2 linked regions of the Sus scrofa genome follow. The protein of the gene in region 2 interacts with the protein of the main gene of each other region in a biochemical or structural test. Links are inferred from orthologs where the notes say so. Each region holds a gene or a part of one and is shown on either strand. Other genes may lie near its edges. The genes, in order: CITED2 and TFAP2A.

Region 1 (4,365 bases), on a different chromosome or scaffold from region 2:
GAAAACAGGGCATGTTTGAGAGGGAACATCTTGTGAAGGTTGTAACTTGACCTTTGAGTCAACCTTGCTGAGTAAATTTTAAATATTATAGAACAAAATAGAAAGCCTCAAGGTGGAATTCCACCCTCTCTTCCTCTTAGAACTGTAAACCAGTCAGAAGCTTTCGCAGAGATTAAGCTAGAAATTGTGTGCCTCTCCTTAGTACTTTTGCTGAGAAATAAAATTCATCACTAGAGATAAAGGCAGATTTGTATTTAATACATCCTCATCACTCTCCCAGTATTTTATTCCAGTCTACCTCCAGTTAAGTAGTTGAATCAGGTATAACCAGAAATACTTGTCTTTCCCCCCTCCCTCTCTGTGAAAAAATATTTATAACATTTAGTATTACAAACCTGCCTAACTCTGGAGTACACTTATGATGACAATTCAGGGGAAGAAAAAAAGCTCTAACAACTTTGCAGCTTTTGATTAAACCACACCAAGAGGCATGTTACAGTGATAACAATGAAGCATTATGCCAATTATGTTAAATCCTGCTCTCCGCTTTAAGCTCATCATGACCTGTTTTAGTGTCCTGTAATTTATCCTTTGGAATGCTTACTCTCATCAATAAAGTGTTCAACTTAAAGAGAAAAAAAGAAAGCCACCAAAGGGAATAACCACCCCCAAATGACTTCTAGAAAACAAGTATTTCTTAACTTTTTATTGACATTGGCAAATTAAAATAGAATAAATTAACAAGTATTTTTTCAAAAAAATGTTTTGTACAAAAATACTGTCAAAATTTCCTAAAAAGCTTTCAACACAGTAGTATCTTTTCATGTACTGAATATAACTATTAGCACAGTGTCAAAAATGTTGAAGACAGAAACAAAATAAAAATTTGTGAAATGTTTGCCACTGACGACATTCCACACCCTATTATTGTCTGTACATATGGGGGAGGGGGACAGCCACCTTGAAAGTGAACAGTATGACTTTTCCTGATTCAGAACGGTTTGGCCCACATCTGTTTAATCTTCCAGTTTAGCATATTTTAAAAAATTCGTCTGTACTCAAATGCATAGTTAAAAAAATGAAGTGAGATGGCAGAGTTTGTGCAGTAATATCTGCCCTTCAAAGTTCATGCAACCAACTAATGCAATTTTTCCTTTCCCTCATAAATCTGAATACAGTTCAGTCATTTGAAACCATCTACAAAATCCACAAGATTAAGCAGTTTGCCAAGATTAATATCTAACAGTTCAGCACTGGAGAAAGTGAGGAAATAAGGAGTAAAAACAAACAACAAAAAAGACCAAGTTAGCTAGATATTTCAACTACATAAGGGAGGTGAGTGTCAAGGCTACAAAAACGAAACGAAAACAGAAAAAAAAAAAAAGTGGCAGCAATTTTTAAAACCAATTTGTACAAGTTTATAGTTTACTTTGTTTCCAAGTTCTCAAACCTTTCACGATCTGAAAAGTGAGATACTGTGTCTAAGGGAATGTTTTTTAATTCACGCCGAAGAAGTTGGGGGATTTGATTTCTTTCTCCGAGATTTTGATCGAGTCAACAGCTTACTCTACTGGGCTGCTGTTTGCACACGAAGTCCGTCATAAAATCAAACTCGTTTTGCCCCAGCCAGAGTTCAGGCAGCTCCTTGATGCGGTCCAAACCCATTTCTATCACTAAGGACATAAGCACTTCCTCGTCGATGAAATCAGTGTCTATGACATTGGGCGGCAGCATTGCAGCAGGGACGTGGGCCACAGAGGCGGGCATGTTGCTGCTGCTGCCGCTGCCGCTGCCGCCGCCGCTATTGCTGCTGCCCGCGCCGCCGCCAGAAGTGCCCGCGGAGCCGCCGGGGGTGCTGCTGCCGCCGGAGCCGCCGGGGGTGCTGCTGCCGCTGCTGTGCTTGGGGTTGCAATCTCGGAAGTGCTGGTTTGTCCCGTTCATCTGGTGGCCTGCAGCAGGGTGCAAATCCGGCATGTAGTGGTTGTGGGGGTAGGGGTGATGGTTGAAATACTGGTTGTTGAGCTTCTGCAGCTGCATGCTGGCCGGCAGGGAGCCTCCCTGACTGGCCACGGGGGGGGCCATGAACTGGGAGTTGTTAAACCTGGCCGCGGGGGCCAGCGCGCTCGGGGGGTGCCCTCCGTTCACAGTCCCCGGCCCCATCGCGTGCCTGATGCCGCTTGTGGCATTCATGTTGCCCGCGCCGTAGTGTATGTGCTCGCCCATTAGGGCGTTAAAGGTGTGTTGGGGCTGCTGCTGCTGGTGGTGATGGGGGCTTGGGAACTGCCCCATACCCATGCGGTGGGCAGGGTGGTGGTGCAGCCCATTGGTGCCGTCGGGGAAGCGCCCGTGGTTCATGGCCATCATATGGTCTGCCATTTCCAGTCCTGAAAGTGAAAAAAGCAGACGCTAAGACCGTAGCCACACGTGTCGCCCACCACAGCGCAGCCCACCTTTTCTCGCCTTTGCCCCCCTCCCAAGACTCCCTAGACACACTTCGGTTGCGATCATCCCGAGGATCCCACCAGGAGCCTGTGCACCCGGGTTCACCACCAAGACAGACCTGCCATCTACAACAGAGCCGCGCGCTGCACAAACATCCCTTTCCCCTGCGATCGGGCGGGGGGACCCAAGCCCACACCCCCCTTTGCTCCCCGATGTCGCCTAATAAAGGAAGTGCCCCGTAGCCCTGCCGCGAACTTCAGGCATTAAATCAGCCCTCCTCATCCTGTTGTTGCACATCCTGTTGTTATTCCCCAGCTCCGCCTCACGCTCTTCCTCCGGGCAAACCCAGCCCTCGTCGGACTGGGTTGGCAGAAGCCCCAGCCAGCTTCTCTCGCCGCGCTTACCTTCCGTCCTTGCGATTTCTGCTCTGAAGACCGAGGGCGGGATCGTTGGGTCCAGGACCGGCTCAGCAGCACATAGAGGTGGCCTTTCCGGTGTGCAAGGCGCTCGCTGTCTCGAAGTCTGCGCCGAGGTCTTGCAGCGGCTGCTGGGGCAGGACCGGAGCCGTTCCCTTTTATTTCCCCTCTGCTGCCTCACAGCTCGCTAGATCGCTAGACCGCCCGGCAGCTGCCAACAATGAGCTGTGTTTCTTAGGGCTTTGGCCACAGTCAATATAAGGGATTTCAGAAAGGGCGGAGCGAGAGCCTCCCGGGGGGGCGGAGGGAAAATGCGGATTCCGGCACTTTGAGCACCCCGGACTGGGTCTGGCAACCGAGTTCCCCCTCGGCCGGAGGCACGTGCGCAGAGGCTGCGGTCCCAGGCACCGCCCCGCGGCCCCCGGATCCTGGTTTCCTCCACAAACACTGAGCCAGCACGGCGGCCCCCGGCACAGAGAAAAAAATCTTCCCTTGACTCTCAGCCTAGAGGTAGCGCCTGTCCGGAAAGAAGCGAGGAAAACTCATCGCCCCCCTCTGGCCGGATTCCCCAACCCCCAGCTCACCTACCGATCTGAGCTGCTTTTTACTGGAAAAGGGGATTCAATGCAGCGCCCACGCCGTCCATAGTGCCTTTTTGCCTCCCTGAGCTTACCAAAGCTTACCCAGGCTGCAAAGAATGGTTGTGTTTACCCCAGTGCGTTTTTAAGCCCTAGGCAAAGAATGTCCCCTCCCCTGTGCACGCTTTCCTGGGTTTTGCCTTTGTGTTTCTATTTGGGCATTAGGTGACCTGATCTAGATATTCTGCGTGTAGGTGAATCTCCCCCCCCCCCCCCCCCCCGCTCCCCCGCCTCAAGGACAGAGGCTGGGGGCGGGGACCGGCAGCCCGCTGCAGCTGCAGGTGGACTGAGCGCGCTAGCGCTCGGCTGCCTCCGCTCCAGCGGCCGGGAATCCTGTCCGCGTTTTGGGGCCCACTCGCCGCTCCCGGGTACGTGTGCTTCTGCTAAGTTTGCGTTTGCAGCTCTTGGTAGCTTTGGCATCCGAGCTGAGGCGTCTCTCCTCTGTAAACAAACTCAGCGATCCTCGTCCCTAGATCCACCTTTTTGCACATACAGTTTCTTGCTTCTGCTGTTGCCCTTGATCCGGGAGATGGGGGTGTGTGCAAACTTGCACAGCCTCCCTCTGGGTTCTGCCAGACGGTTTGGGGTTGCTTTAGAAGTGAACGGGTTTGTAATTAAGAAATTCGAGGGCTGAGTAAGGCTGCTGTTGCTGGAAAAGGAAAACAGATAGATAACATGGTAATCGCTTTGTAAATAAAGTCGTTCTGGAGGTGGGCACGTAGCTGCACGTCCCGTATGGCACCGCGAGCATACACACTGCTGGGACTATTCCTTTCCAGTGAAATTTCTCAGTGGGGCAATAGGTGATAATAATAACCTTGCTTCCCAGAACGCGGCACAACTAGCCTGGTCGTCCATTTGGCTCATTG
Region 2 (3,810 bases):
AACAAATTTCAGCGATTAACTAGGCCAAATGAGAGACGTAATAAATATCCTATTTGCCTATGTAACTTAAATAATGTTTTAAATTCACCAAGCAAGCAGGTAAGTTCATCTGACCATTTTCTTTGCAATCTAATGCAGGAATCATTAAACTGTCAACGGACATATTGCTGCAATATTTGATGCAGTAATTTGAAATAGCATTTTAGCAAAAATCACATCCAGATACATTTCCTCTCCAAAGAAAAGCAGCATTAACAGAGCCTTTACAGCTTTAATAAAATTATTGACTTGTTCTAATTCCATTTCAGGAAGGTTGTGAGGCGACCATAAATATGTAGGATTGAAGCAGAGATGCTGGTTTAAATTTAATTTCAGAAAGTATTTTCAAATTATCAATAGCCTGGCTTGCATTGTAAATAGTAAATGCGCTAATACCACGCTGATTTAGAAAGCATTCAAAGCTGCATTTATTGATAACTGAATTAGAACTCAAAGAATGCACTGCCCAATCGTCTCAAAACATTTAATTTAATATGGGGTGTAGCAGGTTCTGATAGGCGTTGGGAACCTAGCTAATGATTTATGAGGTCAGCACTTAGCACCCCTAGGAAGAGAAAAAGGCTGCATTTAATGTCCTGCCCGGATTTGCTGCTTAGTGTTCTTTAATCAGGGTAGGGTGGACACATAACTTTCAGATATCACTGGTGTTCACAAAATCCAGTAAAAAAATCATTTTCTTCGTCTATCCTTCACACTTTCCCTTAAATTGCTAGGGCATTTAAATGAGTTCTTTTGGTGGACTCTAACACGTTTTTCAGAAATCCCCACGACAGCCTCAGCGGTGGACTCGGATCCTCTCCCAACTGAAACGGTTTACCGTCGTGGAGAGGGGAAGGTATCACCGGTGACAAGATACGGTGATTTATAGAAACCCGTCTGATTTATATAAATGGTAACGCAGGCATTGTTTGCAGGAGGTCCAGGAACCATTGTTCTAGGGGCAGAACTCTCTCTCTCTCAACTACTTGTGCAAATGTTTAATGCGGTTGTCTAGGAGGGTCCTGCAAGGGTCCACCCCCCTCCCCCCAAAATAAAACGAGGCTTTTTGAGAAAGCCAACACCACGGAGGGGGAAGCCCAGGCCCCCTCCGGCTGGACGTGGTGGGGAGCTTGGGGGAGGGGGGCGAGCAGGGGCTGCGCCTCCTCCGCCGCCGCCCTGCCCGCGCGGCCTCTTACCGGGACGTCCTCGATGGCGTGAGGTAAGGAGTGGATCGGGAGGTCTCCGAGTCCTGAGCCAAGCCCGTGGGGGCCGTGCAGGAGGTCCTCGTGCCGCCGGTAGTCCCTGCGAGGATCCAGGCCCGACAGCTGGTGGGGTAGCCCCCGGTGCGTGTGCAGGAGCCCAGACTCCTGGCTCTGCCTCTGGCCGGGCCAGCCCGGGTGCTGCGGCTGCGGCTGGGCGTGCAGGGGGTTCAGGCTGTAGGGGTCGTTGACGTGGGAGTAAGGATCTTGCGACTGGGGGTAGATAGGCTGGTAGGGCGGGGGAAAGTAGGGGGGCTGGAAGTCGGCATTGGGGGTGTGGGACAGCGGCGGGGCGCTCGTGTAGGGAGATTGACCTACAGTGCCCAGCTGGGGCAACCGTGCCGTCCCGTTGCTGGTGCCGTCGTGACGGTCCTGGAAGAGAGCGACAAGAAGGGGAGAGAAGGAGACATCAGGCGTCGAGTTACAGCTGCCACACAAAATCCACTCCGCCAGACTGCGTGGGAAACCGCCCATTCCTGTCCGCAGGCCGCCGGCACGAAAGGAGCCCTGAGTGGTTCTTTGCAGAAAATTCTCCAGAAGTGAAACGGGCCCTTCCCCAAACGCAGGGAATTAGATGGTGCCAAGGTGGGCGCTTTAGAGACTCTCCTTAGGCGTTTCTTTCCAAGGGGGGAAAAAACAGCAGAAAGGGGCCTCCCGGAACACAGCTCGTTAGGCTGCAGAGTGAAACCTCCCTTAAGCAAAATTAAAATTCCTAACTATTAAACTGCAGAAGCGGCCTCTTCTCTGTCCCTGGATTTGAACCTGCCTGCCACTGCGTTATTGTTTACCCTGTTCCATTTATTTCGAGGAAAAAGTCAAACCCGTTCAAAGACCATTACCATTTCATGATTATTTAAATAGAAACATATTTCGTAGAGGGGCTGTAAGGGAAGCCCTCGTTGAAATTACCAGCCTAAAGAAGGTTTTAACCGCGGAATAGGGGGCTGTCTTTTCCGAATCCTCAGGCGCCTTTTTTTTTTTTTTTTTTTTCCTGCACAGGGTCGATTTATGATAGGGACGGGGAGAGGGGGAAGCCAAGACCAGGTTTCAAATGAAAAGATTCAGCCTTATATTGGGTTTAAAAGAGAGAGGTGCACCCCGGGGCGGAGGCCCCCGCCCCTTCCACCCCAGCCCCAAAGGGCAGAAGAAACGCCTGACTTGTGTTCCTCTATTGCAATTCGCTTGCAAAACAAGCGAACGGAGTGGGTTCCAGGGAACGGGAAACCTCGGAGGTTCAGCCCCGGGCCCCGAGGGGAAGGGGCACGCCGGGCAGCGTTTTCCTGCAGCCGAATTAAGCATCAGATGTTGAGAACGGCTCGGGAACAAGTGAAGAGGCGAGGAAATCAGGATGAACGTGGCGAGAGACACACGCCTCGGGAAGCAGCGGCGAGGTAGGTCTGCGCGCCGGGAGAGGTCGAGCGGGGGTCGGGGGGTGGGGTGGGGGGGACCGCATTCGCTTCAAGAAGGGGAAAGAGGAAGAGAAAGGAGGAGAGAGGGGAATGCAAACGGAAAAGGGGGTGCCCCGAAGGACAGCCGGGCGAGGAACCCGAAGTCTCGGGCCGCTCGGCAGCCCCAGGTTTCGAGTCGAATTCCTAAGGAAACAGGGATGGGGGTGGGGATGGGACTCACCATAGCTGAAAAACTGTGAACTAACATCTGCGAAGAGTCTGGGGTAACGAGTCAGGGTGGAAAACGACAAGCAAGCCCGGAGAGCCCGGCTGCCCCGCCGCCCGAGCGCGCCCCACACAAAAGGCGCCGAGAGCCCCGCGCCACCCAGGACTCCGGTCACGGCGCCGCCGCTCCCCCGAGCGCTGGAGCCCCGCTCTGGTCCATCCGAACTTGAACCACCGATTGGAGCGGCGCCTTCAGCTGGTCGAACCCACGGTCTCTATCCTGCCGTGATCGGGTAGGATTCAAAGTTCCTTAAAAAATGAAAAACCCCAAAAAGGGAAAAAGCAAAAAGTGTGTGTGTGTCTGTGTCTGTGCGTGTGTGTGTGTGTGTGTGTGTGCGTGTGTGTGCGTGTTCCTTAATCCGTGTCTCCCCCTCTTTTCTTAGCGGCGGCTTCGCTTGAGCTTCTAATAACCGCGCCGGGCAGCGTTCCTGGAGCCTCCTAATAGCAGATATTCATGACTATTAATATTACACGAATACTTAATAAGGGAAGAATGCCTGGAAATCGAGCGTGAAGCGGAGAGGCAACTCGCGCCGGAGCCGGCTCTCAATGCAGTCCATTGACGGGAGCCTCAGTGTAGCAAATCGGAGGTGGGGAGAGGGAGCGCGAGAGACAAAAAGCGGGCGAGAGAGGGAGCGGGCGAGCGCGCGGGGGGCCGCGGCGCGGCGGCTGGCGAATCACAGGGAAGGGGCAACATTTTAAAAGGTTGCAGGGCAGGCAAAAGTGAAAGAGAAAGAGGGAGCGAGGGAGACCGAGGGCGAGCGCGCAGAGAGGCAGAAATGTGTCTGCGTGCGTGTGCGAGAAAGAAAGTGTGGGCGCGCGAGAGGAGCCCGGAGTGG

Evidence for each region.
Region 1: the proteins of TFAP2A (region 2) and CITED2 form a complex in vitro, tested with the Homo sapiens proteins (2 studies listed by BioGRID, with this or other methods). The link is inferred for Sus scrofa from reciprocal best matches to the Homo sapiens genes TFAP2A and CITED2.

The regions. Positions count from the first base shown.
Region 1 is NC_010443.5:25,154,390-25,158,754, reverse strand, and holds CITED2 (cbp/p300-interacting transactivator 2), read right to left. Parts: upstream 3,104-4,365; 5' UTR 2,847-3,103; intron 2,385-2,846; 5' UTR 2,377-2,384; coding exon 1,555-2,376; 3' UTR 238-1,554; downstream 1-237. UniProt on the Homo sapiens protein: Transcriptional coactivator of the p300/CBP-mediated transcription complex. Acts as a bridge, linking TFAP2 transcription factors and the p300/CBP transcriptional coactivator complex in order to stimulate TFAP2-mediated transcriptional activation.
Region 2 is NC_010449.5:7,233,537-7,237,346, forward strand, and holds part of TFAP2A (transcription factor AP-2-alpha), read right to left. Parts: intron 3,054-3,810; exon of another isoform or gene 2,955-3,053; coding exon of another isoform or gene 2,928-2,954; intron 1,671-2,927; coding exon 1,236-1,670; intron 1-1,235.